Ovis aries: one gene and its partners. The protein of the gene in region 6 interacts with the protein of the main gene of each other region in a pairwise test. Links are inferred from orthologs where the notes say so. Each region holds a gene or a part of one and is shown on either strand. Other genes may lie near its edges.

Evidence for each region.
Region 1: the proteins of CREB3 (region 6) and P4HA2 interact in a two-hybrid assay, tested with the Homo sapiens proteins (2 studies listed by BioGRID and IntAct). The two-hybrid records come from large-scale screens. The link is inferred for Ovis aries from reciprocal best matches to the Homo sapiens genes CREB3 and P4HA2.
Region 2: the proteins of CREB3 (region 6) and CACFD1 interact in a two-hybrid assay, tested with the Homo sapiens proteins (2 studies listed by BioGRID and IntAct). The two-hybrid records come from large-scale screens. The link is inferred for Ovis aries from reciprocal best matches to the Homo sapiens genes CREB3 and CACFD1.
Region 3: the proteins of CREB3 (region 6) and SYNGR1 interact in binary tests that used the Homo sapiens proteins (3 or more experiments, as listed by UniProt). The two-hybrid records come from large-scale screens. The link is inferred for Ovis aries from reciprocal best matches to the Homo sapiens genes CREB3 and SYNGR1.
Region 4: the proteins of CREB3 (region 6) and PTDSS1 interact in a two-hybrid assay, tested with the Homo sapiens proteins (2 studies listed by BioGRID and IntAct). The two-hybrid records come from large-scale screens. The link is inferred for Ovis aries from reciprocal best matches to the Homo sapiens genes CREB3 and PTDSS1.
Region 5: the proteins of CREB3 (region 6) and LAT interact in a two-hybrid assay, tested with the Homo sapiens proteins (2 studies listed by BioGRID and IntAct). The two-hybrid records come from large-scale screens. The link is inferred for Ovis aries from reciprocal best matches to the Homo sapiens genes CREB3 and LAT.
Region 7: the proteins of CREB3 (region 6) and SLC29A1 interact in a two-hybrid assay, tested with the Homo sapiens proteins (2 studies listed by BioGRID and IntAct). The two-hybrid records come from large-scale screens. The link is inferred for Ovis aries from reciprocal best matches to the Homo sapiens genes CREB3 and SLC29A1.

The regions. Positions count from the first base shown.
Region 1 is NC_056058.1:19,976,328-19,980,534, reverse strand, and holds the start of P4HA2 (prolyl 4-hydroxylase subunit alpha-2), read right to left. Parts: upstream 2,802-4,207; 5' UTR 2,759-2,801; intron 1-2,758. UniProt on the Homo sapiens protein: Catalyzes the post-translational formation of 4-hydroxyproline in -Xaa-Pro-Gly- sequences in collagens and other proteins.
Region 2 is NC_056056.1:2,591,304-2,594,586, forward strand, and holds the end of CACFD1 (calcium channel flower homolog), read right to left. Parts: intron 2,768-3,283; coding exon 2,660-2,767; intron 2,136-2,659; coding exon 2,045-2,135; 3' UTR 555-2,044; downstream 1-554. UniProt on the Homo sapiens protein: Transmembrane protein which mediates synaptic endocytosis and fitness-based cell culling.
Region 3 is NC_056056.1:216,623,813-216,627,206, forward strand, and holds part of SYNGR1 (synaptogyrin-1), read left to right. Parts: intron 1-2,369; coding exon 2,370-2,591; 3' UTR 2,592-3,394. UniProt on the Homo sapiens protein: May play a role in regulated exocytosis. Modulates the localization of synaptophysin/SYP into synaptic-like microvesicles and may therefore play a role in synaptic-like microvesicle formation and/or maturation.
Region 4 is NC_056062.1:80,865,741-80,869,874, forward strand, and holds the start of PTDSS1 (phosphatidylserine synthase 1), read right to left. Parts: upstream 2,839-4,134; 5' UTR 2,714-2,838; coding exon 2,535-2,713; intron 1-2,534. UniProt on the Homo sapiens protein: Catalyzes a base-exchange reaction in which the polar head group of phosphatidylethanolamine (PE) or phosphatidylcholine (PC) is replaced by L-serine. Catalyzes mainly the conversion of phosphatidylcholine.
Region 5 is NC_056077.1:26,377,454-26,381,627, reverse strand, and holds the start of LAT (linker for activation of T-cells family member 1), read left to right. Parts: upstream 1-1,315; 5' UTR 1,316-1,625; coding exon 1,626-1,728; intron 1,729-1,844; coding exon 1,845-1,950; intron 1,951-2,076; coding exon 2,077-2,111; intron 2,112-2,367; coding exon 2,368-2,437; intron 2,438-2,557; coding exon 2,558-2,622; intron 2,623-2,713; coding exon 2,714-2,891; intron 2,892-2,961; coding exon 2,962-3,062; intron 3,063-4,174. Other genes in the region: SPNS1 (protein spinster homolog 1), read left to right, coding at 1-148, 428-522. UniProt on the Homo sapiens protein: Required for TCR (T-cell antigen receptor)- and pre-TCR-mediated signaling, both in mature T-cells and during their development.
Region 6 is NC_056055.1:52,808,386-52,812,416, reverse strand, and holds the start of CREB3 (cyclic AMP-responsive element-binding protein 3), read left to right. Parts: upstream 1-1,189; 5' UTR 1,190-1,335; coding exon 1,336-1,473; intron 1,474-1,588; coding exon 1,589-1,736; intron 1,737-1,811; coding exon 1,812-1,879; intron 1,880-1,990; coding exon 1,991-2,080; intron 2,081-3,551; coding exon 3,552-3,658; intron 3,659-3,766; coding exon 3,767-3,835; intron 3,836-4,031. UniProt on the Homo sapiens protein: Endoplasmic reticulum (ER)-bound sequence-specific transcription factor that directly binds DNA and activates transcription. Plays a role in the unfolded protein response (UPR), promoting cell survival versus ER stress-induced apoptotic cell death.
Region 7 is NC_056073.1:17,720,807-17,724,112, forward strand, and holds the end of SLC29A1 (equilibrative nucleoside transporter 1), read left to right. Parts: coding exon 1-9; intron 10-149; coding exon 150-228; intron 229-490; coding exon 491-588; intron 589-805; coding exon 806-914; intron 915-1,165; coding exon 1,166-1,251; intron 1,252-1,633; coding exon 1,634-1,833; intron 1,834-2,152; coding exon 2,153-2,264; 3' UTR 2,265-2,779; downstream 2,780-3,306. UniProt on the Homo sapiens protein: Uniporter involved in the facilitative transport of nucleosides and nucleobases, and contributes to maintaining their cellular homeostasis. Functions as a Na(+)-independent transporter.

The DNA of each region.
Region 1 (4,207 bases), on a different chromosome or scaffold from region 6:
CATGGCTGGATCCCACCAGAAGGCAGAGAGCAACATGGGCTCAGAAAGATAAAACATGGTGCCTCCAGTTCAAGTGAGCAGTCAGTCCTGCCCAGACATCACCGCACTCACAGATGACCAAGTGGCCCAGCTCAGGACAAGACAATATAGTCGAGCAGGAACACCAACCCTGGAGTCAGATAGTCCCAGAGTTAAAACTCAGCTCCACAATCACTTCCAGGTTTCAGAACCTTAGACAAGTTACAGTCTAAGGAGTTACAGTTCCAAGTTACAGTCTTGGAGCCTCAGTTTTCCCATCTATTTAACAGTGGTAACATCTCATAGGGCTGTTCTGAAGACTGAATGTGCTGACAGATGTCAGTGGGCAGCCTAGCACCAGGCACAACTTCCACCAGTCATCAGCACCAAGGGCAGTAGAGGAACGGCAACAGACCTGAAGCCGCTGACCCCTGGAGAGAAAGAAGGTCCAGCCTATGAGACAGTGAAGACGAAAACGAAACAGAAATCGGAGAACCTCCATGTCCCAGGAGTGTCAAAGGAGATTCAGGAGAGGGTGGAGTCAGGCCTAAAGCAGCACACTGACCGTCGGGAAGCTAACTTTGAAAACTGGCCAATCACTGGCTCTCTCACCAAGGAAGGAAAGTTCTCTGGCAAAAAAACAGGTGACCGGATCTACACTCTGGAATCTCACCTATTTCTATGTCTCTGACCTGCACACTCTGAGTTCCTACAAATACCAGGTCTCAGGATCACGGCCACACCCTGGGCCCTCAAGAGTGCCAGGTACAGAGCAGGGTATATTCTAGCAAACACTTCCTGAAACGTCTAGAGCAGATACTGGTCTGTGATCAGAGTCACATCCAGTGAGCTGGAGAATTCACTACCCAAACATCTATAACCCTCTGCCCTGAAATGACACCACTTAAACACATGCTTTCTCCTAGATCTCCAAGAAGTCTAATCCAGACTTTTCAGCCCCTCTGCTCCTTCTGAGAATAAAAACGATATCCCTCATTCCACATCCGCAGCTCAAACCCAGTGACCACAGGGGCTACCAGCCCTCTCTGCTCAAGAACAGACTCATGTCCCACCCTGGTGCACTTCAAAAGTCCAAAAAAATTGCTAGAGTTTTCGAAGTTTAACTCTCACTCCAGCACCCTGTCTGGGCTTGCACGTGCCTGCATCACACCATTTCCTGCCAACCTCCATCTGCATAAAATTAAACTTTCTACAGATCCCAGGAGCCAGGGACACACCCAACAGCGCAACGCACACCATGGCCAGCGTGGCCACACACTGGCCAAGGTCTTAACATCCAGTCTCAGGCCCTCCCAAGGATGTGGGAGGGCAGAGTCAAAAAGGGAGGTTCTCTCAGGAAATGAGCAGACCCTAGATTTGCTACCCAACTCATTCCTCAGGGCTGTACCCATGCAGTCGCTCCTCATGAGCGCTCACACTCTGAGCTCCTCCCTGGCATGTGACCAGCTGCCAGCCTGAAGCAGCAATCTCAGAGAGATTATGAGCTACCCATGGGCAAGGATTATAGCACCATCATTGTCTCCTCTCCCTCCTCCCTCATTCCAGCCCCAGGCACACTTTAAGCAAAAGCCCAGTACACAGGAGATACTCCAGGAATGAACAGAGATCGGCCAGGCTAAAACAGTGACAAAGCAGGCACTCTCTGGGGTACACCATTTCAGAGCACTGGACAGGATAGAAGGGCCTATCATAAGCCACAGACAATACTCAGTTGCCACCATGTCTGCCTGCAGATCTCTCAGAGAACTAGGGTGGCCGAGTATGACAGCATCTCTGGGATGAGGCCCCCAGCCAACTCACCCCATCTTTGCAACGTGGCTTCCTTCGCTGGGACACACAGTGGACAGAGTTGGCCGTCTACAAATGAGGCTCAAGAATAAAAGGATTCAAAGCCCAAATATCCTATGAGTAGGGAGAAGTGAACAGAGAGGCTGGACCTGGAAGCCCAGAACAAAGTGAGAACCTGCACCCTGGAAGCTTCAGAGACTCTCTGAGCACAAGCCAAAGGAAACCACGGTTCATTGAACAGAGAATTAAATCATGGAATCTGCTATCCCAGATATGACGTGGGCAGCAGCTTGCAAAACCGTCCTCTAAATTCTTAGGGGGACAGTGGATCTCTGCAAAATCAGGAACATCTGAGAATGCCCTAAGCTGCAAAGCAATGTTCCCCAACTCTTGATCTCAGGGCCAGGATCTCCTCCAGAAGGGCTGAGGTTGTTGAGCTTCAGACGGTTTACATCAAGCAGCACAAGCCTCAGGTATCACTCTACAGCAGAAGACACCAGCCTCAGCCTTGGGAGGGACTTTGATATTCTTCTCCATCTGAAAGGTGTCAATTAGAAAACAGAGACCAGGGGCCTCTGCCCTGGAAAAGGAAACTTCCTGCATCCACATTCATGCTGCAAGGATTCACTGAGCACCCTCCACATATAGGACACAATACCAGGCACTATCTTCTCACTTGAGCTCTCTGGACAGGGTCTCTATGCAGCTATCCACTAAAGCGTCCCTTCCCCCATTTCCTTGCTTCCTCTAGAGTGCCCAGGTCAGCTTCCATTCACACAGGCTATTCCTCTGTCTGGGTTACCCTTTATTCAACCTTCATCTGACGACTCCAGCTCATGGGTCACCTCCTCCAGGAAGTCCTCTGGCCTGAAGCATCCTGTCCTCTACCAAGTACCCACAGTCCAGTGCTCCCTCTGAGCACAGCACTCACCACACTGACCGGGGCCTGGCCTTTCCTGGTCTCCAGTCCGCGTGCCCCACTAGGCCAGCAACTCCTTGCAGTTTCTGATAACACTGAAGGGTTCGTTTCTTGAATTAGTTAACTAGTTACAAGTCTCCGCGGCTACTGAGGCAAAACTGGAGAGAAGAAAAAAAGAAACTTTTATCATCCAATAGCCTGTCTTAACGGGAACCAAACAGGATCAAGGCTACAGACTCCCAAGCCTCTGGATGGAGGAGGGTGGACCTAACACCAAGCGGCCCCTAGAGGCCTGCCCGGCGCCCCTGCCTCCTCCAAGCTCCGGGTGCCCTGGGGCCGGGCCGCCCCTTCCCAGGAGCCTGACCCTCGGGGCGGCCACGCTCCCCACCCGGTCCGGCCGCCCCGAGGGGACCGGCAGGAAAGGCGCCGCTGACCTCACCGCCCATAGCTCGGGGAGGGGACTCGGCGGCAGGACAGGAACCCACGCGGGTGCAGAAACAGGGCGGAGGGCGCGGGGCTGCGGCCCGGACAGCGCGACCCCCGGCCCCCAGCTGCCGGCCCCGCGCGGGCAGAAGGTTCGGCCCGGTGACCCCGGCCGGTACCAGAGCCCCGCGGCTGCCAGGCAGGCGGGACGCTCACCCGAACACGCGCCGCTCCCGGCGTTTCCAGAACCTCCCGCGGCGGCGCCGGGCCCGCTCGGCACCTCCTCCTGGGCGGCTCCGCCTCCCGCCGCTGCCGGGCTCCGCCCGCTTGAGCCGCAGCCACGTCCCCACCTCCCTCTCCCTCCGGGCTCCCTACCTCCCGCCCGCCCCCAGCCCCGCTCCCACCAGCACCCCCCGCGCGTCCCAGGCCCCCGGTTCCGCGCCCCGACAGCCTCAGCCAGGGGGCGCCACCGCCGGCGACCCCCGGGAAGACCCGGGCCGCCCGGCCGCGGGGCAGCGGGGAGCAGGGAGCGGGCCCGGGACCCGGCGGGGGCCGGCCGCCCTCGCCCTTCATGCGGCCGGCCGCTCGCCGCACGTACGCGGCGCCCGCCTCCCCTCGGCGCTCCCTTGTGGGGCTCTGCCCGCCCTCCTCCCCCGCCCCCTGGGCGGCTAGAGAGGCGCGCGCCACCGGAGATTAGTGCGGTGGGGGGAGCATCCCTGGATGCTGGCCGACTCCCCTGGCCCCAGCTCAGGCCCGTTTCCTCGGTGGTCCTGCTGGATATACCGCTCCTACCCTCGCCTCCCCATCATCACCATCAGGTGACTGGGAGGTGGGGTCACCCGGCCCTGGAGCTGGATTATCAGGGGTTATCAGGGAAGGGGACAGTGGAGAAGGACCTGAAAAAGATCTAGGATCCACCTTCAGGACCAGGTTCCCAAAGGGATTCAGGCTGTCCCCAGCTCCTGGATCCGGCACTCCCGGTGATGAAATGTGTGGCTGAATAGGTTGATGAGAGGGGAGACCATCAAAGGCTGGTCA
Region 2 (3,283 bases), on a different chromosome or scaffold from region 6:
TCACCTGGTGGCCGCGTGGGGACCAGGACAGGAAGCTGCACCTGTGAGGCCTATGGACACCACAGGGGACGTGCTGGACGCCCACCGGCCAGGGCACAGGACCCTGCATGGACTCTGCCTCCTACACCCACCCCGCTTCTGGGAACAGGAAGCGATTGAGGGCGAGCTGTGTTCACCCTATTTATACCAATAAATGAGAGGAGGGAGTGGGGAGTACTCCCGGTGGGGGAGCCCCCCGCCAGCAGCCAAGCCAGACCCAAGACTCAGCCAAGGTCACCAGAGCCTGCTACCCCAGGCCACCCCAGTCTGCCCACAGTGAGGCAGAAGGAAGGGGCGAGGGCTGGGTCTCCCCGGCCGTGAGGTTCCAGCTCCTCCTAGCTGTGCGCTCAGAAGAGCCACCTGCGCCGTCTGAGATGCTGGGAGCAGGCTGCATGGCACCCCGATGACCTGGTGGGTTCCCCCGGGGCCGGGGGCCCCTGTTCGGCTGCTCTAGGGTCGGGGTGTCCCTTCTGGACCAGAGGGAAAAGGTAACGAGCAGAGCACGGGAGCAAGCGTACAGACCGCCACCGGGCTTTATTGCTCAAAACACAAGCCAGACACGGAGAGTCGACAAGGAGCACGGGAGGACAGAGCCCAGACCCCCAGGGTGGGCAAGTCCTGGCTACCTCGGTGGGTGACCTGCCCACTCTAGCCTGTGACCCAGGGGCTGGAGGGCCTCCCTAACACCCGCCCAGCTTCCTCACAGGCCAGAGCCACAACCCTGCTCCACACACAGCCAGCTCTTCCCTCCCGCAGCAAGGAGACCCCCATCGGCAGGAAGGACTCCGTCAGCAGGGAGACCCCTCTCAGCAGGGAGACCCAGCAGAAGCAGGAGTGACCCCAGAGCCCCACTTCCTGGGGAAGGATGAGCCAGGAGGTGGGCAGGGCCCTCGCTGCTCCAGGGAGGTAGACAGTCTGATCCACGGCACACACAGGAGACACGCACACGCACGCACACACACACGCACACACCCTGCCTACAGCCCACAGCCCTTTGACCCCGGCGCAGGCCTAAGGAAGATGGTCCCAGAGGACCCCTGAAGGCACGTGTCACACCGGGCTGGCCGCACGGTAGACCCTGCCACCCCAGAGCTCAGCCCAGCTGAGGGCTGGGGGCATGCTGCTATCCCCGGGACACGGCCTGCCTCCCAGCCGCCAACCCTAGCAACCCCCAGAGATGAAGGTCCATCTGGAAGCAAAGACTGGGTGCAGCCCTGGGGCTGGCTCCAGAAGGCGGGCGCAGCCCCCCAGGCTCCTGGGAGGAGCAGGGGTGGAGCCCCAGAGCCGCGCACGGCTGGCCCAGGCGGGCCAGGCCCAGGGGAGAGGCCTGCTTCTGTGCTCGTCCATGGTGCCGGGACCAGAGGCCGGAGCACACCCCAGCCAGCGGTCAGGCTGCCAGGGCTGCCGGCCGGGGCACTGGAGGGGCGTCTGGGGGCTCCCATGGAGGAGACTGGCAGGGCCTGGGCGGTGGTGGAAGGCCAGACAGAAGCGGCCCAGGCAGCTCAGCTCACGGGGTATGCTCCTGCCTGGGAGGCCAGGAGGCCCGAGCGGATGTACCCCCACATGGAGATGGCACCCACATCCCCAGGAGCAGCTCCTCCCAGGCCTCCAGCCGGTCACAGTGGGTGGTCCCGCCAGCCACTCGAAGTCTCAAAATCCACCCCGTGGCCTGTGGCCGGCCAAGCCAGGCCAGCTGGAAACAGTGGGGCCAGGAGGGTGTCTGTGCAGAGCCCTGCAGCTGGTCACCCCGAGGCTCCCTCTGGTCACCCTGCTGCTGCTGGTGAGGCCCTCCGAGCCCTCACCCTGCCCCTTGGCACTTGGCTCAGGGTGATGCCAAGGGCGGGGCGTGGCGGGGGGCAGAGAGAGGACTCCGGGCGTGGGGACAGGTGAGCAGGACTGAGAGAACCAGATGTGGGCTCCTCCCCAGACCCCTCGGGGTCCATGCTCCTCGGCACAAGCTCACTCAGACCAGGAGGCAAGCGGGGGCAGGAGGGCCCCAACTCCCTCACAGCTCCCCCTCCAGGGCGTCTGTGAGCTTCTCCTCGTCCACCTGCTGCCTCTGCTGCTGGATCCTGGCATAGGAGATTGCATCGCCCCTGGGGAGACAGGGCAGTCAGCGCCACACGGGGGACAGACCCCAGACACGCAGCCGCCCAGCCTCTGCCCCGTTCCTGGCCTGGGGCCCTGGGGGGGCCCTGCCTAGCGCCTGCCACGCCCCCTGGTTTCCCCAGATGAGACCCTGTCACTGAGGATGGCAGAGACCCATCCTGTCGCCTCTGAGAGTGGCCTGGACTGCTGGGGACGTGAGTTGAGGAGGACTGGGGCCCTCAGGCTGTGCTTTGCGGGACTGGGGGGGGCATCGGAACACCAGGCCGGGAGCAGGCCCGATGGGCAGAGGCTCTCCAGGAGCTGTGCCCCTGCGCCCCTGCCAACTCTGTGCCCCAGGGGTCCCGTGAGTTCTCCCGCCTCCACCCCTTAAGAGCTCAGACGCCCCGGAGGCGCTGATGAGGGTCACTGACGGTGGTAAACGGCCGCTCCCAGACCTGCGTCCCCAAGAGGCTCTAGAAGGGAGAGGCCACCCCCACTCCCCCTGCAGCCAGGCGGGGACCAGCGTACGCACTTTTTGCCCAGCGCAGACAGCCCATACAGCACCCCGGTGGCGAAGGCGATGGCGTTGCCCAGCAGTGTGGTCAGGGTCAGGCTGATGACGACGGGAACAACCGCCATCCTGCGGGAGGAGCAGAGGTCACGGGGCAGGCCCGCCCACCCATGACCACACCACCACTTCCTGCTGCCCAGGCTCACCCAGCCCCTGCCCGGACAGCGGGCACAGGAAGGGACCCCGGGCATCAGCTGGGACACAGGCTCACAATCCAGCTTCACAGAGTCCTCAAACACCCATGAGCCTGTCTGCAGAATTCTGTGCACTGGGGAGAGAACCCGAGGCTTTCATCGGATTGTGGGGAGACCTCCCCGGTGGCTCAGTGGTAAAGATCCCCCTTGCCAATTCTGCAGACACGGGTTTGATCCCTAATCCAAGAAGGTCCCCTATGCCACTGAGCAATGAAACCCATGGGCCACAGCTACTGAGGTCTCGCTCCGTACAGCCCATGCTCTGCAGCAAGAGAAGCCTGCACACCGCGACAGAAGCGCAGCCCCGCCTGGCTGCAGCTACAGAAGGTCCAGACAAAGCAACAAGGGGCTGGCACAACCAAAACACAAGCAAGATTATTAAAAAAAGAAG
Region 3 (3,394 bases), on a different chromosome or scaffold from region 6:
GCTGGAGGTGGCTCCATAAGGGCTGAGAGGCCCTCCCACAGCTGCAATATGAAGGCCAATTTTACAGTCCCGGTGGAGGCTGGCTGCCAAAAGGGGCCTGGCCCAGCACAGCAGGGGACTCCTGGTCTGACTCTGCTCTCGTGTGCTGTGGGACCCTGGGCAGAGCCATGCACCACTCCGTGCCTCAGTCTGCCTCCCTGGATTGAGAAGTGATAATGAACCAACCTCTCAGGGCTGTTGTGCAGATGAAACGAAGGTTGACACAGGGCTTGGCACAGAGATGCTCAATAAATGTCAGTTCTTTTGTTCATTCATTCATTCTCTCCAAGGAGTCAGGGACACCTTCATAACTTCTTCTTTGGGAGTGATTCCTGTGTGGTGAATCCCTGATCTTCCAAAGGACCTTGGCCTCCAGTCCTGCACAGGTTCGCTCCTTGGGGCCCTCAGCTGCCCTGGAACACAGACCGGCCCCCAGGGCAAAGCCCTGCGCAGTGGAGATGCCGCAGAGAGTGCGCCTGCTCTGAAGAAGTAGAGCCAGGTGGACCACTAGGTCCCTGGGCTCTGAACAGAACTCCCAGCTTCACCTCTGCACCCAGGCCCAGCAGGGGCCCACACCCCCTCCACGGTTCCTGTCTGTGGCTCTTTGAACTGGATGGCTCAGAGAGTCCTTAACTCAGCTGGGTTGAAGGAGTGACTGCAGAGATAGCACTAGCTGCCTGTAGCCAGAGTCCCGCCCTGGAAGGGTCTGCAAAGGTCATCGGCTCCAGGCCTCTGCCTCCGTGCAGGATAGCAGTAGAGCCAGGGAGCTCGGGAGGACCATGTCTGCAGAAATTCCTCTCAGGAACTGATTCATCCATTCCCTTTGTGCTCTTTGTGGACTCGCTGATGGCTCAAGGGGGCTGGAGACGTGGTCCCTACCCTGGGTGGGGGAGGGGCTTCCCATCTCCCTTCCCCAGGCCCCTGCATCTGAGCACCCTGTAGCCAGGACCTCATAGTAACATCATGGAAAATACGAAAGGGCCGCTCCTGATTTCCTCGGCCTACCTCCTTGAGGTCTGGTCTGCCTTTTCCAGGCCCCTGGCACTTTGCCCCTGCCTCTCACCTGTTGGTCCTCTCAGGTTCCTGGTTGACTTAGTGCCTTGTCAGCTGGCTGATCAAAAGGAAGGAGATGGGGAGGGCCCTGGCCTAGGAAGGGGCAGGACCCCTATGTTCAGATCTGGGTTCTGGCACTGACTCTGCCATGAGGCCCCCTTTTCTAGGCCTCAGTCTTCCTGGCCCCCACACAGAAGTATGTAGAACATAAGCATTTTCCCATCACAGGCAGATGACCTTGGTTGGGAAGACCTCTGGAGAAGGCTTTCAGCATAAACCTGTAAACACTGTCTTTTAATGACAGGTTTAACTTATTCCCTAGCTTGGTGTGATCAGTTTCATTGTCCTTAATAATAATGTAATTGCTTTTACTTAAAAAGGGTTTCCCACCTATGTGTATATGCTGTAGACAAGTCATTCCCAACTGAGTTGTATGTAAAAAGGGCTTCAGTGGTCAGATAAGTGGTTGCTTGCTTGGGGATCCCAGCATACATGAAATAATCAGAGCTCTGATGACTCCTGTGGTCCTCTGTTTAACTCAGTTTCCCAAACTTATTTGATTAAGCATTTCAGTTAGAATTAGGTTCAGCAGCAAATGACAGAAATCACAAATGACAGTGATCTAAAAAAAAGTCTATGTCTGGGAAGACAGTCCAGGGCTGGCATAAGTGACTCCGGAAGTCTTTAGTGACTGAGGCCTCTTCCAGCCTTACAGTTTGGCTCGTGGACCTCATGGTCCATTATGGCAGCTACAGTGTCAGCTCTCACATCTGCATTCTAGGCATCAAGTCAAAGGGTGAGAAGAGAACTTGGGGCCGACCCATTGGCTAGAGCTTAGTGATATGGCTATGCCTAGCTGCAAGAGGGACAGAATGACTTTTAGGAGAGGCCGACATTTATCTGTCCCACCAAGAAATTTTTTTCTCCATCCCATCTAACATCCTAAGAACACAGTTGGAGAAGGATATTATGGGGCTTAGGTCATTTTAACACTCCAGAGTGGAGACTCTAGAAATTTTTTTTGCCCTCAGTAACCTTTGGCGTTAGGGGTCATCAGGTAGGTGATCTCCAGACTTCTTATGGGCTGGACAGTGTGGTTCTGGGCTGGCTTCTAAGGACAGCTTTCCTCCATCCCCCCTCAAGCGTGTTTTGAGGATATTTAACCCTCTACTGTCCGTGTCCTGTGGACTAACCTCTACTAACCCAGTGCTCTTGTCTGTCTCTCCCCTAACCACCCCGTCCCGCCTGTCCTTGTCCCTGCCAACCCCCGTCCCCAGGCGGGCCAGGCTGTGCTGGCCTTCCAGCGGTACCAGATTGGCGCCGACTCGGCCCTCTTCTCCCAGGACTACATGGACCCCAGCCAGGACTCCAGCATGCCTTACGCCCCCTACGTGGAGCCCAGCGCCGGGCCAGAGCCCACCAGCATGGGCGGCACCTACCAGCAGCCGGCCAGCGCCTTCGAGCCCGAGCCCCAGGGCTACCAGTCGCAGGGCTACTGAGCCACAGGGACCACCTGCCCCCCGCCTGCCCCTGAGCCACCCCAGCCGCCCCCTGCCCCCTCCCTCCACACCCAGCCCCCCTGCTCCCTCTCTGGCTGCCCTGCCCGGCACCTCCAGGTGGTTCCACTGAGGTCCAGGGCCACTCGGGTGGGCGGGGCAGTGAGGTGCTGGGGGTGTCCACACGTGTGTGCAGGTGTGCGGTGCCCTGGGGGTTGAGTTCGTTCCTTGTCTGTGAGTCTTCATTGAGCACCTACTGTATGTCAGGCCTGTGCTTGGCACGAGTGCTAAGACAGATGGTCCCCGGAGACGAGGAAGAGGGGATGTGGAGGAGGCCCTGCTCTTAACCAGAGGTAGGAATGGAGAGAATCTTCCACCTGGAGGATGCTGGGAAGGTTTGACTGCGGGGTGTGAGTACCGCAGGACACTGGGGGCTGTCATCTGCTAGGAGTGACACCCCCGCCCTGCTCGGAGTATTGGGCCGTCTCCATTTTATGCTTGAGGAGACAGGCCTGGCGAGGTCAGGGTCACTCAGGCAGCCAGTGATAGAGGTGGGGCCACCACAGGCTGCCCGACTACAGAGCACCTTTTGTCCCCCAGGGTCCCCACCATCTCCCATCCCTGAGCCCGGGGCTCCGCCGCTCAGTGCTACAGTCCCTCTGGGAGGCCTTGGGGACCTCAGCCCATGAGACACCCTGATTCTGCTGCAAGCCAGGGGCCTGCTCTGCCCCGACTGTTCCGCCCAGCGGGACAGCCCTGCCTCCAGGCCCCTCTCCCCACATCCCGCTGGCCTCTCCCCTGGCTGC
Region 4 (4,134 bases), on a different chromosome or scaffold from region 6:
TAAGCAATATTAAGTGGCCACACAGACACAGATACTAGGTGGTAAAATCAAATGACATGATAAGTATTTGAGGATAACCATAATTAGGGACAAGACTTCTCTCCAAAGCTTATTCTTAGTTGGATACTCTGAAAATATCTGTCCTTACTCCACAGCAGAGAATTCACAGAATATTTTACCATAAAAGTAGCTGTTTCCCTCAATCATTAATTGTTTCATATGCTTTGTGCCTTTAGATAGATTCACACAAATAGATAAACACTTACAAAATAAGAACCGAGAGTTAAATGGATTGTGGAGGAAAGGAACAAGTGTGATGTACGAGGACATTATCAGTTTTATGAAAATCTGAAAAAGTTGCATTGATTCTCAAGGGAGATACCATTGGCACTTGCCATGCATACAAGTGTGTAAGTGCTCACGTGTGCCTGTGAGTCAGGGACAATTCTTTGTCTTAAATGCTATCCCTGGCGTTTACACATTTAGCATCCTTAACCCCCACCTGCTAAATATCAGAAGTTCCCTCAATGCTGAGGTCACCAAATATACTCCCGTACAGTTTCTGTGGATGGGCTGAAAACCACTGATTGTTGGATAAATATATTAGGAGAGAAGAAAGGTCTAGTCAAAGCTTTGGTTTATCCAGTGGTCATGTATGGATGTGAGAGTTGAACTATAAAGAAAGCTGAGCACCAAAGAATTGATGCTTTTGAACTGTGGTGTTGGAGAAGACTCTTGAGAGTCCCTTGGACTGCAAGGAGATCCAACCAGTCCATTCTGAAGGAGATCAGCCCTGGGATTTCTTTGGAAGGAATGATGCTGAAGCTGAAACTCCAGTACTTTGGCCACCTCATACGAAGAGTTGACTCATTGGAAAAGACTCTGATGCTGGGAGGGATTGGGGGCAGGAGAAGAAGGGGATGACAGAGGATGAGATGGTTGGATGGCATCACTGACTCAGTGGGCCTGAGTTTGAGTAAATTCCAGGAGTTGGTGATGGACAGGGACGCCCGGCGTGCTGCAGTCCGGGGGGTCGCAAAGAGTCAGACATGACTGAACTGAACTGGGCCTGAGTTTGAGTAAATTCCGGAAGTTGGTGATGGACAGGCAGGCCTGGCGTGCTGCAGTCCACGGGGTCGCGAAGAGTCAGACATGACTGAACTGAACTGCACTGACATTAACTATGCATCATGTGCCAGGTACTCTGTTAAATACATTCACACATGTTCATTTAATTCTCTAACTCCATATAAGGTAAGGACCTATTTTATCCCAATTATACAGAGGAGAATCTTGAGGCTCAGAGAAAGGCTAAACAACTTAACCAAGGTCACACAAATAGTCTTGCGACCACTAGTCTGCCTCCAAAACTCCACATCTCTAGGTTAGTGCTTAAGCATGGTTGGTATAAACACACATTTTTTTCGTTAAAGAGGTTCATTCAGAAAATATGAACCCTTATTAAGTAGGACCCAAGGTATACCTGTCCTTTAGGCATGAATCAGTTCCTTGGCTTGGGGCTGAGGGACCTCATGTTCAGTGAGGTAGCTATAAGCCATGGGCCAACAAGAGTTGGACGGGGTAGCTCCTAGGCACAGGTGTACATCAGAAGTGCTTTGAGTGAGTGTGCATGTATGTTTTCAGGCGTTAAGAGAGTTGTGCTATAGTGTGTGTGGTGTGCGTGTTTTATTTAACCCTTTCCATATCATCTACAAGGCACGGGGCATTGCTACAGTGGCCTGACAATGTCTCATTTCAGCATGTATGCCGGGATAAGAACAGAACAGAGCCGGCACCGTGTGTTGTGTAATGGGCTGGTGTCTGTGTGGCAGTACTGGAATGTTGGCTGTGATGTGTGTGCGCATGGCTGGCAGTTTGTGTTGTGGTACAGGCGGTCGTGTTTGGGGCTGCAGGAAGGGTTATGCGAGACGACTGGCGTACAACGCACAGTGGAGTGCATTTTTGTGGGCAGGTAGTGCTGAACCCTGGAGGAGTTCGGCGGGGAAGGTCTGGGTTACGTCCTGGGCCTGGGCATGGCGCGTGAAAGACGCCCGTAGACTGGGGTGTTTGCAGCGGGGACATGTGCTGTAAGTGGTGCCTACCAGATGAATCATGCGGTGTGCTAGGCGGGGACGGAGGCCCGAGAGGAGGGGGCCGGTGTCGTGATGCGTGGAGAGGAGAGCGATGCTGGGAGCCAGGGAGGAGGGAGGGAGGGCGATCGCGCCAGCCGGGCCACGCGTGTTCCCGGGGTGGCCCGAGGCGCTGCATAGGGAGAGGCGGTATGAGGACAGGCGTGAGGGTGGGTGGAGGATGGGCGTGGGTCGCAGGGAAGGGACGAGCGCCGGTCCCCGAGGAGCAGTAGGGGAGCGAAGCTGGGTGTGTTCGGGGACAGAGCCGCCGGCGGGCGAGCCCGCGCGCGGAGCAGAACGAGCCCGCTTCCTCTCCCGGCCATGGCTCTCCCCGCCCCCAGCCCCGCCGCGTCCCCAGCCAGCCCCTTCCCCTTCGCCCTCGGGCGCGCCTGGGCCGCCCCGCACCTGGTGAAGGCGAAGTACATGAGGCTGACGATGGTGAAGCTGAGCAGAGTGATGGTGTGCGGCCGGTAGAAGAAGTCGATGGTGATGTCCTCCACTTGCTGCTCGTTGATCATCCGGAAATGCATCTTGTAGTTCACATCATCTTTACTCAGGGTCCGGCTCCCCACGCAGGACGCCATGGCCCGCCTCCCGGTCCCGCGGCGCGGCCCCGGCCCGCGGAGGCTGGGAGCCTGGGGTCGGGGAGCGGGGGCCGGACGAGCCGCAGCGGGCGGGCGGGCTGCCGGGCGGACGCCGGGGCCGGGTTGGGTGAGCAGCTCGGGCGGGGCGAGCCGCGGGCGGGGCCGGCGCGGGGGAGGCGGGGCCGGCGCAGGAGGGCGGGGCCGGCGTGGTCCACGCGGCCTCGGGCTGCGGGTGGAGGCGGCTCGCCCGGCCCGGGATCCCGGGAGGGGCGTCCGTAGAGACGTGCGGCGCCTTCCCAAGCCCATCGCAAGGGTCTGCGGCGCCCACAGGGGAGGGAGACCGTGTGCCCCCTGCGGCCAGCTCTGTCCACTCCGCCGCGCGCCGCCCTCTCCCCACCCGCGCAGCCGCGCCGATGGTCTGGCCCACTCCGGCCGCAGCCCACGTGGGCCGACGGGAGAGCTAGCGCCGGCTGGCAGAGCGGCGCCGAGGGGCGGCCCGCGGGGTCCGGCTGGGCGGGCGGCGAAGGCCTTGCCACAGGTAAAGGGGGCGCGTTCCCTGCCCGGGGGCTCCAGGTCCGGCCCCCACCACCCTACTCCTTCTCGGCTCTAGGCCGGGCCCCTGAACCGCGTGGCCCCGTAGGCCTTCGCGGCCCCGCGGAGGGTAAGCGATGTTGTTTTTTCTCTTGGCGGGTGAGAAGGGCGCGCCGCGACGCTGGTGTGTTTAGCGCGCTTTGCCCGGTCGGTGGGGGCGCTGGGTGATGGGGCGGGGGGGACACGCGGAAGGAGGTCTACGTGGTGAGGGGGGCTTCCTCCGGAAGTTGGTTTTGGGGGAACCTAAAACGGACCTGGTAGAATGGTCGGGGGGGGGGGTGGGGGGTCGGGGGGGGGTGGGGGGTCGGGGGGGGGTGGGGGGTCAGGTCGTGTTCCCGAGGCCCCTGATTCCCAAGCCGTCCTCTTCCCCATCTTTCAATCTCCTGATCTAAGCCTCCCAGAGGTCGAAATCTTGCACCCTCGTCGAATGTATTTAAGCGCCAATGAAACTACTAAGGTGTACAGTGGAGAACTAGTCTATATGTGTTCAGTTCAGTCGCTCAGTCGTGTCCGACTCTTTGCGACCCCATGAATCGCAGCACGCCAGGCCTCCCTGTCCATCACCAACTCCCGGAGTTCACTCAGACTCACGTCCATCGAGTCCGTGATGCCATCCGGCCATCTCATCCTGGGTCGTCCCCTTCTCCTGCCCCCAATCCCTCCCAGCATCAGAGTCTTTTCCAATGAGGCAACTCTTCGCATAAGGTGGCCAAAGTACTGGAGTTTCAACTTTAGCATCATTCCTTCCAAAGAAATCCCAGGGCTAATCTCCTTCAGAATGGACTGGTTGGATCTCCTTGCAGTCCAAGGGACTCTCAAGAGTCTTCTCC
Region 5 (4,174 bases), on a different chromosome or scaffold from region 6:
TGGCCCCCCTCCTTCTTGTCCGAGTTCCGGGCCCTGCAGTTCTCACTCATGCTCTGCGCCTTCGTGGGGGCACTCGGGGGCGCGGCCTTCCTGGGCACCGCCATCTTCATCGAGAGCGACCGCCGGCAGGCTCAGCTGCACGTGCAGGGTCGGTCGGGCCTCCCCTCTGTCAGTCCACAGTTCCCTGTCTAGCTTCATGATGCTGCCTGCTTGTCTGTCTGTCTGCCCGCCCAGCCCTGTGTACCTGGCCTCTCTCAGTCCTCAGCCCTCCCCTTCCTCGGCTTCAGGGCTGCCTGACCCATGAGCTCATGCCCTGCTGTGTGCCCATCAATGCTGCCCTGTCCATTTGCCACTGCTTGTTCGTCCCCTTCCTGGGCCTGTGTCTGTCTGTCCATCCAGCCCTGGCTCTGATTCTCTTCCCTGGCAGGTCTGTTGCCTGAAACCGGGCCCACCGATGACCGGATTGTGGTGCCCCAGCGAGGACGCTCCACCCGGGTCCCTGTGTCCAGTGTGCTTATCTGAGGGATCACCGCTTGCTATCTGCAGACCTATCACAGCTGGCCCTGGGCCCACCCCAGGAGGTGCCCAGGCCCCAACTCCTCGGCTAGCCCGTTTTCCGGGAGGGGCCTTGGGCCGTGTTCCAGCTCCCACACACTACATGGGTAGCCAAGTGGGGACACTGGGGGCTCGGGACGGGGGAGCCCCTGCCCCTGGAGCAGCCCTGGGGGCTCGGTGCTATTTGTAACTGAATAAAATTTGTAGCCAGAACCCCAAGTGCCTGCTGGAGTCTCTCTGGGTTAGGGACCTCTGATCTCTGGATGGTGGGGGATGCCCCCTCTCTACCCCCAGGGTCCCAGCGGCTGTCGGGTGACCCCCGTGGGCCCTGGGGCAAAGCCCTGTCCTTCTGGGCCGGTGAGCATTGGGGTGGAGTGAGCTGGCTTTGTGTGACCGTGAGTCATGCCCGTGTCTCCCCTAGAGCCCGCCCTCCGCAGGCCAGCCAGGGCGAGGTGGGGGTGGGCACACCCAGGGGCCCCTCAGAATTCCCGGTGTCGGAGCCTCTCTTTGCTGCCTCCGTGAGCCACAGCTGTGGAGGCCGCGGCCACTGACTGGCCTGGAAGCATCTTTCCCTCCTCACCCCCGCTATGAGTTGCCCCTTGCCAGGGAGACCAGCTGACCCTTCTGGAGGGCCCAGGGTGGCTCCTGAGGTGGCCTCCTCCCCCTCCTCACTGGCTGAGTGGGGGTGGGAAGGGGGCGGGTGCAGCTGGCTGAGCCCCGATGATTTCCTGCCCTCACCCGGCGCTCACCACAGCTTCCTGCCACAGGCAGGCAGGCGCTGAGGAGAGGCGGGCGCGGAGCGAGGGGCAGGTAGGGCTGGGGCACAGGGTCTGTGTAGGGGTGGCTGGTGCCCCAGACTCCAGCCCAGACCCTGGCCTGACCACCCTGGGGTCCAGGGTCTTCCAGAGCCAGCGCTGACACCCGCTCAGCCCAGCGAGGGGAGGGGATCCAGAGGAACCCCTGCCTTCAGGCTCTCAGCCGGCCGCCGGTACCCTTCCCGGCCTGGCCCTTGCCCGCTGCTTCTCTGTGTGGAGGGGTGTGCAGCGAGCAGCTGGGCCTGGTCCAAGCAGATGGAGGCGGTCAGCCTGCCTGTCTACGTGCTGGGGCCCCTGCTGCTGCCTCTCTTGGCCGTGTTGCTGATGGCTCTGTGTGTCCGTTGCCGGGAGCTGCCAGGTGAGTGGGTGCCAGTGGGTTGACCAGATGCCCAGACACACTGCTAGGGATCCTCACTCCATTCTCTGACCTCTTCCTTCCCTTTAACTGTCTGTAACTCTTTCTTGCACGCGGAGACGCTGAGAGCCCCATACTCCATCACCCTCTGCCCTCGTCACCCTCTTTTCCTGCCTCACGGGCCCTCTCTTCCCCAGGCTCATACGACACTGCCGTCTCCGATAGGTGAGTCTGCCTTGTCGACCCCGTTCGACTCCCTCAATGCCCCGTGTGGGGCTGGGCCCCTGGGGGCCTGGGGTGGGGTCCAGGGCCTCTCCCAGCTGCTGACCTGAGCTCTGTCTCTCCTGCCAGTTTGACCCCAAGTAGCATCATGATCAAACTGCCTCGTGAGTACATGAGTGTCCCCTCCCTTGGGTGCGGGGAGAGGGTCCCCTGGCCTGGGAGAGCGTGTGCTTTTGTTCATTTCCCCGCTGTGGCCGCCCACATGGCCTGAGCTGGGGGTGGGGAGGGAGATCGTGTCTGCCCGCCCAGGACTCTCCAGGGCCCTGGGGGTGGCAGGGGTCAGTCTGCCTTTCGAGGCCTTGTCCAGGGTAGGGGTGTGAGGTGTGGAGTCATTCCTTCAGCTTGGTCCTGTGTCCTCAGCCACACTCGTCCCACGACCATCGACCACTCCCTACCCGCTCCCGAGCCAGCCAGACCTGCTCCCCATCCCGTAAGTACCAAATCCCCTCTTTAACCCCTCACCTCCTTGGATTGGGGGCCTCTTGCCCTGTTGCAAGCCCTCTCCCCCTAGAGCCCCACCCTAGTATGACCTCTGACCTTTGACGCCCAGAAGGTCCCCGCAGCCCCTCGGAGGCTCCCACCGTATGGCGTCGTCCCGGCAGGACTCAGATAGCGGTAAGCCTGGAGCGGGACCCACAGGGCTGGGACCACTGGGTAAAGGCCCCCTCCGAGCTGACTCAGTCTCCCTCTTGCGTTCTCTCTGCAGCCAACAGCGTGGCCAGCTACGAGAACGAGGGTGTGACTGGGACCCCTGTGGCCCCGGCTGGGAGGCGGCTGAGACCCGTCCTGGGCTCCGCTGACCCTGTGTCGTTACCCCCAGAGGCAGCCTGTGAGGATGCGGATGAAGATGACTATGACGAAGACTATAACAATGAGGGCTACTTGTGAGTGGCCAGGTGGGAGGTGGGGGCCGAGGCCAGGGCTCCTCGCTCACCTGACCCTTGACTCCCGCAGGGTGGTGCTTCCTGACAGGGACCCGGCCACCAGCACTGGCAACGCCGTCTCACAGGCTCCTGCGCCCAGCAAACCCGGCCTCCGAGACAGCGCCTTCTCCAGTGAGTCGGCCGTCTGACCACTCCCTGCCCCTCCGTGCTGCGGCTCCTCGGTCTTCCCTCTCCTCCTGGATCCTTGCGCCCCTCCATCTTCTCGCTTCTCTCTTTCTAGCCCTCCTGTCCTTCAGCTAGGGGACTTCCGGCTCCGATCTTCTTTTCTTTTCTCTCCTCTTCCCTCTTGATCGTTTGCCTTTTTGTCTGCAAGATTTCCTTGACTCTATTCTTCTTTGGGCTCCGAGCTTTTGTCTTTCTTGTCCAAAAGCTCTTTCTTCATCTCTGAATATTCCTTTCTCAGAGCCTCCTCTCTTGTCTTATGAAGGTGATATCATCTTGCAGATCTCGAAGGATAGTGATGATCAGCTGTCTTTTTTGGGTTTCTTTGGAAAGTTTTCTTCTGCTTCCAGTGTTGTTTCAGTTTCCTTTGGGCTACTTTTCGCTCTTCGTTTTGGTTTCATCCTGCCTCTTGGAGGCTTTTATCAGTGTCTTGTGATCTTCAGTGTCCGTTACTCTTTTCCTTCTATGCTTGCTCTGTGCCATCGTGTCCACACCCTGGCTTAATTTGCCATCCGCATCATCCCTAACTCATGGCCTCTCTCTTGGGCCCCAAACCATCTGTCCAAGTGCTTATTTTCATTCATTCATTCACTCACTCATGTTCGTCCATCTACTCACACAATTCAGCCATCATACTTACTGGTTGCCCCTGAAATAATCACTGCTAATGAGTCTGAGTGAACTCCGGGATATGGTGATGAATAGGGAGGCCTGGCGTGCTGCGATTCATGGGGTTGCAAAAAGTCGGACACGACTGAGCGACTGAACTGAACTGAACTGAATGAGAAAAAGTCATGATTAAAGCAGCTCGCATTACTGAGGACCTCATACATTCGCAGCTAAAGAGTTTTATGTGTATTTGTTGTTGTTATCTAGTCACTAAGTCATGTCTGACTCTTTTGCAACCCTGTGGACTGTAGCCCAGCAGGCTCCTCTGTCCACGGGATTTCCCAGGCAAGAATCCTAGAGCGTGTTGCCATTTCCTTCTCTGGGGGATCTTCCCAACCAACTTATTAATATTAAACCTCACAATTCCCAGGGGCTTTTGAGCTTCTCCCTTC
Region 6 (4,031 bases):
CTCTGGACCTTTAACCCTGAATCTTCATCCCTAAACCTAAAGTTCATTTGTCACTTGATTCCTGATTCACCCCTTTCTTGTTTATCCCCTGTACTGGCTATGCTAACCTTCTCTAATCCCTAAATCTGGACTTCTAACTTAGTTTCTGTTGTTGACCCTTAACCTGAACTCTAATGTTGGTCGTTATAGAAAACAAAATAATGCCCTTAATCCAAACCTCACCTACACAAAACGCACCTCACACTAATAAATCTAAATTTTAACCCCAGCTGCACACTCCTAAAGCTAACCTTAACTCCTAAAACCCAACTCCACCTAATCTCCAACTCACCCATTCCTGCTCACGTACCCGCTATCAGCTAACCTCAAAGCCGATCCCCGCCCTGCGTCACACTGCCACCCACTCCTCACCCTCCCTCTAAACTATCCTAGGCCGAGGACTGCTCCAGGAAGGGCCTGGCTGCCGAAAAACTGCCTATTTAACTCAGAGCACAAGCAGAGATACACCGGACGCGAACCTCTCCAAGATGACCCGAAACAGACGCAGAAGTCAGGGGCCCTGCCCGCCCGCCTCCCAGGCCTGGTGTCGCGGCCCCACCCTGAGGCCCCAGTTCGCCCGGTCCGGCCTACCTGCGCTGCCCGGCTCTGTGCCCCGCCCGCCGGCCCGCTAACCCGCTCGTTCTCCCGGTGGCTCTCGGGCTGCGGCCTCGCCCTCCCTTCGACACTCTCGGCCACTTCCGTCCCGGGAACGTCCCCCACCCGCGGGCGGCGCCCTGGGCCCGCGCTCTATGGTCGCGGGCACTGCAGGAAGCTGCTCTGGCCCCAGCTCTCGATGCTCGGGAGCCCGCTGACGACCGGCAGCCCCTCCCCAGCCGGAAGCGAGGGTGCGGTGCAGTCCCGAGGAAGCGCCAGAACTGCGCCCTAGTTCCCTTTTAGGCTGTAATCCTTCCTTTTTCTAGCCCGGGGCGGAGCCGCTTCCTCAGAATGCCCGCCCTCAGGGACTGCGGAGGCGGAAGGCACGTCCCCTCTATTTGCATCGCGCCCTGGACGTGGCGCGTACAGCGGCAGCCTCCGCGTCGGGGTGGGGTGGGGGACTCCAACTCCCGGCATGCCTCGCGGGTAGGTGCGTCACTTGTGTTCTGTTGGAAGTCTAGCGGGGAGTGGAGTCTGGAAGGCGTGTCCCGGTTTCAGAGCCTTCGCCAGCAGCTAGGAGGAAAACGCCGCTGAAGAGCCGATAGGTGGGGCCGACTGACAGTCCGTCGCGGTTACGCCTGGTTGGGGATAGGGTCCGGGTGGCGAGGTGAACTCCTGTGTTTCTGCGCATCTTTTCCATAAATGTCTCATATGGAGCTGGCGTTGGACCCGGGTGACCGTGACCTGCTAGGCTTTCTGCTAGAGGAAAGCGGTGGTTTGGGTGCGGCGCCCGACGAGGCCTTGGCGTCTCCGCCGGATTGGGAGCTGCCACTTTCTGAGGCGAGTGGGGGGCTCTGAGTCGGGGAGGCGTGAGGCGGGTTTGTGGGCGGGGTAGGGGTGTCCCTGAGGCAGGGGGTGGTGATGGTCAAAGCCTGTCAATTTGAACCCTGTGCAGTCTCTGAGCGATTGGGACGTGGAGGATTTCCTGAGCTGCCTGCCGAGTCCCCCATCATCGTTGAACGTTTTCAGCAGCTCTAACTCCTGTCTTGTCCAGCATGACCACACCTATTCTCTCTCACAAGAGCATGTCTCCATAGATCTAGGTAAGCCTGAAATAAGTGAAGTTTGGGAAAGGAGAGGACTCCGAGGCCTGACTACTCATATTTTCCCTTTTGCAGATAATGAGAGCTATGGAAAAGAGGGGACTCAGATGACTCCACTGTGTGTGGAGGAGCCGGCAGATCAGGTACTTGACTTATAGGAGGGTTATTTCCGTATTGCGCGGGTCGGGGCAGTATTCCGCGTTACTTTCTGAAATCCCTTTGCAACTCTGCTGCCCATCTCTCCGGAACCGCAGGAGATTGCTAGGCTGATACTGACTGAGGAGGAGAAAAGGCTGTTGGAGAAGGAGGGGCTTACTTTGCCTGGGATGCTTCCACTCACTAAGGTAAGTCTCCCATCGCGGGGACGGGGGTTGTGAGTTCCAAGTAGGCCAGTTCTGTTAATTTTGTATCAGTAACTTGAAAAAGAATTGAGGTGAGAGATTAGCACATTTTTGAGTAGGAAGCTGGGGCATGTGGTTAGTATACTGCTTGCAAGGACAGATCCTGGTTTGTAGTGCTTTTATAAATTTTGGTGTTCTTTTTAACTAAGAATTCAAAATTATCAGGGTAATATTAGTAAAGGGATTTGGAAAGTACTGTACAAGCGCGGGGCTCTGATACTTATATTTCACTGGTTTCATGCAATTTACTTGTAGCTGAATAGTAAATCAAGTATTAGAGTAGTATAACAAGTAGTATAACAATTAAGTAGTATAACAAGAGTAAATGTGAAATTTGGAGTTTCAAGCAATGAGAGGCAGTTTCACATGCACAGTATTGTGATACTATGATGAAATCAATGTCTGTTAACAGAAAGGTTAACAATTTTAATTTCTCAAAAATATAAGTTGAGGCAATCCCCTGGCAATCCAGTGGTTAGGACTCTGTGCTTTCACTGCTCAGGGTCAGGGTGCAATCCTGGTCTGCACCAGGGTGCAATCCCCTGGTCTGGGAACTGAGATTCCACAAGTGCGAGGTGTGGCCAAAAAAAAGTACAAGTTGAGTCAACAGTGTGATATGGCTACTAAGGAAGAGAATGGGGTTTAGAAGCTGTATCATCAGATTTAGTTGTTGTTGTTTGGTCGCTAAGTCGTGTCCAACTCTTTGTAATTCCATGGACTATGGCCCCCAAACTCCTCTGTCCATGGGATTTCCCAGACAAGAATACTGGAGTACGTTGCAATTTCCTTCTCCAGGGGATCATCCCAACCCAGGGATGGAACCTGTGTTTCCTGAGTCGCCTGCATTGTAGGCAGATTCTTTACTGCTGAGGCACTGGGGAAGCCCAGTTGTATCATCAGATACCAGTTATCTAATAGTGTTGCCACTAGAAGGGCAGTAACTATCTTGTTTTCTTTTACATTGGCCAAAAAGCTTCTTAAGTTTTGAGCCTATTATCTTTGACAGATATTAAGAAGATGCAGTCCATCCTGAGAAGAGATAAGATGATGAGTTAAAATTTTTGCCCAGTTTTTTTTTTTTTTTTTAACTCTGAAGAAATGCCAAGTGCTTTAAAATAGCTGAAGACCTTTGTTCTATTATGGCCCCAGAGATTAGGTGCTAGGTAAGTCCAACAGGTAGAAATAACAAAGGCAGATGTTGGCTCATAAGGAAGGTTTTAAAAAAAAATTATCTAACAAAATTGTTACAATGGTTTGGCTTGTGAGGACAGAAGCATTCAGACAGAAGCAGAGTGCCTATTGGTCAGGGAAATTGTAGAAGGAATCTCTGCTTTGAGAAGATTGAACTCGGTTGCCTTCAAACTCTTTGGTCTAATGTTCCTCTGATGGGATCCCTTTTCCTGTCTTCTCCCAGATGGAGGAACAAGTCCTGAAACGAGTGCGGAGGAAGATTCGAAACAAAAAGTCTGCTCAAGAGAGCCGTAGGAAGAAGAAGGTGTATGTGGGGGGTTTAGAAAGCAGGTATGAAAGGGAGCTGGACTCGGGGGTGGGAGAAACAGGTAATTGGAAGTGTGAGGTTTTTGAAGGGAGGATACAGGCCATGTCCCCACATCCCTGTTATTCCTCCAGGGTCCTGAAATACACAGCCCAGAATCTGGAGCTACAGAACAAAGTACAGCTCCTGGAGGAACAGAATCTGTAAGCAGCTCTTTCACATCAGGGTTTGCTCATCCCTCCCGCTTACTACTGTCTCAGTCTTTCTCCTGCTCCATATTTGATTTGTCACCGGGCATCTCTCACATATGTCTGATGCTTGGTCTTTAGTGGGTCTCTGATTCCATGAAGCTCACAGTAATGGGGAATAAATTCACAAGTATAAGTATCAAGGAGGAAG
Region 7 (3,306 bases), on a different chromosome or scaffold from region 6:
CCACGGCTGGTGAGCACTTGAACCCCAGGTTTGGAGTTCTTGGCCGGGGGGAGAAAGGGGTCCAGGGCTCCAGACCAAGGGGACGAAACCTGTGGGAGGGAGAAGCTCTGGAGATTCTGCTTCTGAATCCACCTTCCTTCCCTTGATAGGAATTCTACCGCTATTACCGGCAGCTCAAGCTCAAAGGGCCCGGGGAGCAGGAGACCAAGCTGGACCTCATTAGTAAAGGTCCGAAGAACCCGAGGAAGCTGGGGTGGAGGATGGCTGCTCAGCAGGGGGGCAGCATGAGCTGTGGGCAAGAATGAGCTTCCTGTAGTGAGGGATAACACCAGTAAACAGGGCTGGGCTAGAGAAGCTGGGTGGGGCTGTGCACTGGTTTAAGGGGGTATCCACCCCCAGCTGACCCCAGCCCTTTTGGGGATTGTGTCATTTCCCGTTGCTCTGTTCCTCCCACAACTTGAAGACCCTCTCACCACCTGTCACCCCCCAGGAGAGGAAGCAAAACCAGGCCAAGAGGAGACCCGATTCTCGGCCCCCAGCTCTCAGCCCACCAAGGAAAGCCACTCTGTCCGCACTATCCTCAAAAGTGTATGTAGGGCTGGGGCATCCTGCCTCCTACCCCTCCCATCCCTTTTTTTCTGATCCTTTCTCACCCCATGCCCATCCCCTCCCTTTCTGGCTGGAGACTGGCCCCTTTGCTGGATTTTCCTGCATGTATGCACGCCTGTGTGTGTATTGGGGAATCTTGGTTCTTTAATGATGCACAGCCACCACGAAGACACAGACCAGGGTCCCTTTCCTCCAGATCTTGGTCCCGGCTTTCTCCGTCTGCTTCGTCTTCACCATCACCATTGGGATATTTCCTGCCGTGACAGCTGAGGTCGAGTCCAGCATTGCGGGCACCAGCGCCTGGAGTGAGGAAACCACGGGTTCCCAGGATGGGGAAGGACAGGGGCTTGAGAGCAGGGCTAGGAGCCTGGGCGAGGGGAGCCTGGGCTGTTGCCTCCGCAGCCAGGCTCTGCTGGCCCACTCACCCTTCCCCGGCCTGGAAGCACCTTCTCCGTTTCACAGCTGGGAAACCCAAGTCCCAGGGAGAGTCAGGGTTGCTAGATCCTGCCTTTCTTGGACCCACTAACCCTCTCCTAATCTACTCTTTGTCCTCCAGAGGCCTACTTCATTCCTGTGTCCTGTTTCTTGACTTTCAATGTCTTTGACTGGCTGGGCCGGAGCCTCACAGCCATCACCATGTGGGTAAGTGAAGGAGGGTCACCAAGCCCCTGTGAGATGGGAGAGTCCAGACTGAGACACCCAGGGAGGGGACCAAGAAAGTATGGTGGAAAGCGGACCATGCTTTTTTTAAAAAACTGAGACATAATCTTTGTATAGTACGGTGTACAAGTTGTAGATGTACAGTTTAATGACTACACACACATAAACATACACACGCTCCTGGTGATCACCACCCAGGTCATGCTGCAGCACATGGCCAGAAGGTCTATCTACCATGGCCACTCCCGATCAGTACCCTACAAGGGTAACTAGGCTTGGAGGTTTCAATTCAGATCCTGAGGGCCTCCGAATGGAGCCCCGGGGCCTGGCCCAGCCTGACCGTGGCGTGGCCTGGTCCCCGCAGCCTGGGAAGGACAGCTACTGGCTCCCGAGCCTGGTGCTGGCCCGGCTGGCCTTCGTGCCCCTGCTGCTGCTGTGTAACGTCCAGCCCCGCCGCAACCTGCCTGTGATCTTTGAGCACGACGCCTGGTTCATCATCTTCATGGCTGCCTTCGCCTTCTCCAACGGCTACCTTGCCAGTCTCTGCATGTGCTTCGGGCCCAAGTGAGTGGGGAGTATGGTGGCCTCAGGCAGGGCCTAGTGCTCCAGCTGGGGACCCTCAGCAGAGGGAAAGTGGGAAGAGGGAGACTCCTGATCATGGAGCTCAGGGTTTCCAGGCTGAGAGAGGAGCCCACTGGCCCTCGGGGCCCAGGCAGTGGGAGGGGAGGAGGGGCTCCCAGGGAAAGGTAGAGACAGCCTCAGTACACACCCCCTCACCAAGATGGAGAGGAAGACAAGTGGGTCAGCAGAATGAGATGCTCTGGGTGGGGCAGGGGACTGGGGTCAGGGATGTCCTAAGGTCGGCTCGCCCTCCCTCCTTTAGGAAAGTGAAGCCGGCTGAGGCGGAGACAGCTGGAGCCATCATGGCCTTCTTTCTGTCTCTGGGCCTGGCCCTGGGGGCCGTCTTCTCCTTCCTGTTCCGGGCAATCGTGTGACCGCGGATGGACGGCAGGATGGCACCAGCTGCCTGCTCCTGCCTTCCCCTTTGGGGGTGGGCAGGGGTCCTCTGGAGGTTTTCCTGTCTAGCCATCTTCTGCTTGCTCATGGCCTGTGCTGGGCCCGGCATCCAGGCCCCGAGGAGAGAGCTCTGTGGATGAACATGGGGACACTGTGGGCTGGAGGGTCAGAGTCAAGGGAGGGGACACAGTCTCTGCTCACGCGGACCCCCCACTCTTGGCTCTGACCAATGCCTGCCCGGGCAGGGGTTCCTAGGCTCAGAGAGTTGTGTGTCTTGTCTGTCTGCCTGTACCAAGGGTGGCCGGGGGCCAGGACTGCTTGTTCTGAAGTCTGATCTGGGATTTCTGCAGTCCCCTTCTCCCCATGTGCCTCTTCCTCCCACCTCTCCATGTTCTACCCATCATGAACACTGTACATTTGCCATTATACTGCCTTTTTTTATACTCAAACCAGGGGCCTTCAAAGGCTGGTTAAATAAACTTTTTTTTTTTTCCTCCGTGGCTCCCTGTGTCCTCCAGCCATGGGTTCACACCCTGGAGAGGCTAGAGGGATGGCAGCCTGAGTCTGGGGGGATGAGCATGACCCAGATGGGCCTTGGCCAGCACTGGGCCTGGGTCCAAGGCATTAGGGATGGGGTGGGTCCTCTTTAGTCTCAGAGGCATTACAGTGCCTCCTGCTGGGGCCACAGAAGAGAGACAGGCCTGGATCCAGGACACCCAGACTGTTGGCTGAGATGGAGAAAGGCTATTTCCTTTTGCCATTTCATTCCTCCTTTTGGAGGCCTGGGGGTGGAGACAGTGCGCCATCTTTCTTTTGTTTTGAGTCGCCCCCTCCACTCTGTCCTCACCCCACAGCCTGGGGAGGGAGCTCTCTAAAAGCAGCCAGCTCCACCTCCCACCCCCACCCCACCAGCAGGAAGAGGCTGTAGCCGGAGGGTTCTGCCCTGCCTGGCACCAGGCCCTGACACTGAAGTCAAGGCAGACTTCTTGGCGAACAAGGGGCCTGTGTGTCCTCAATGAA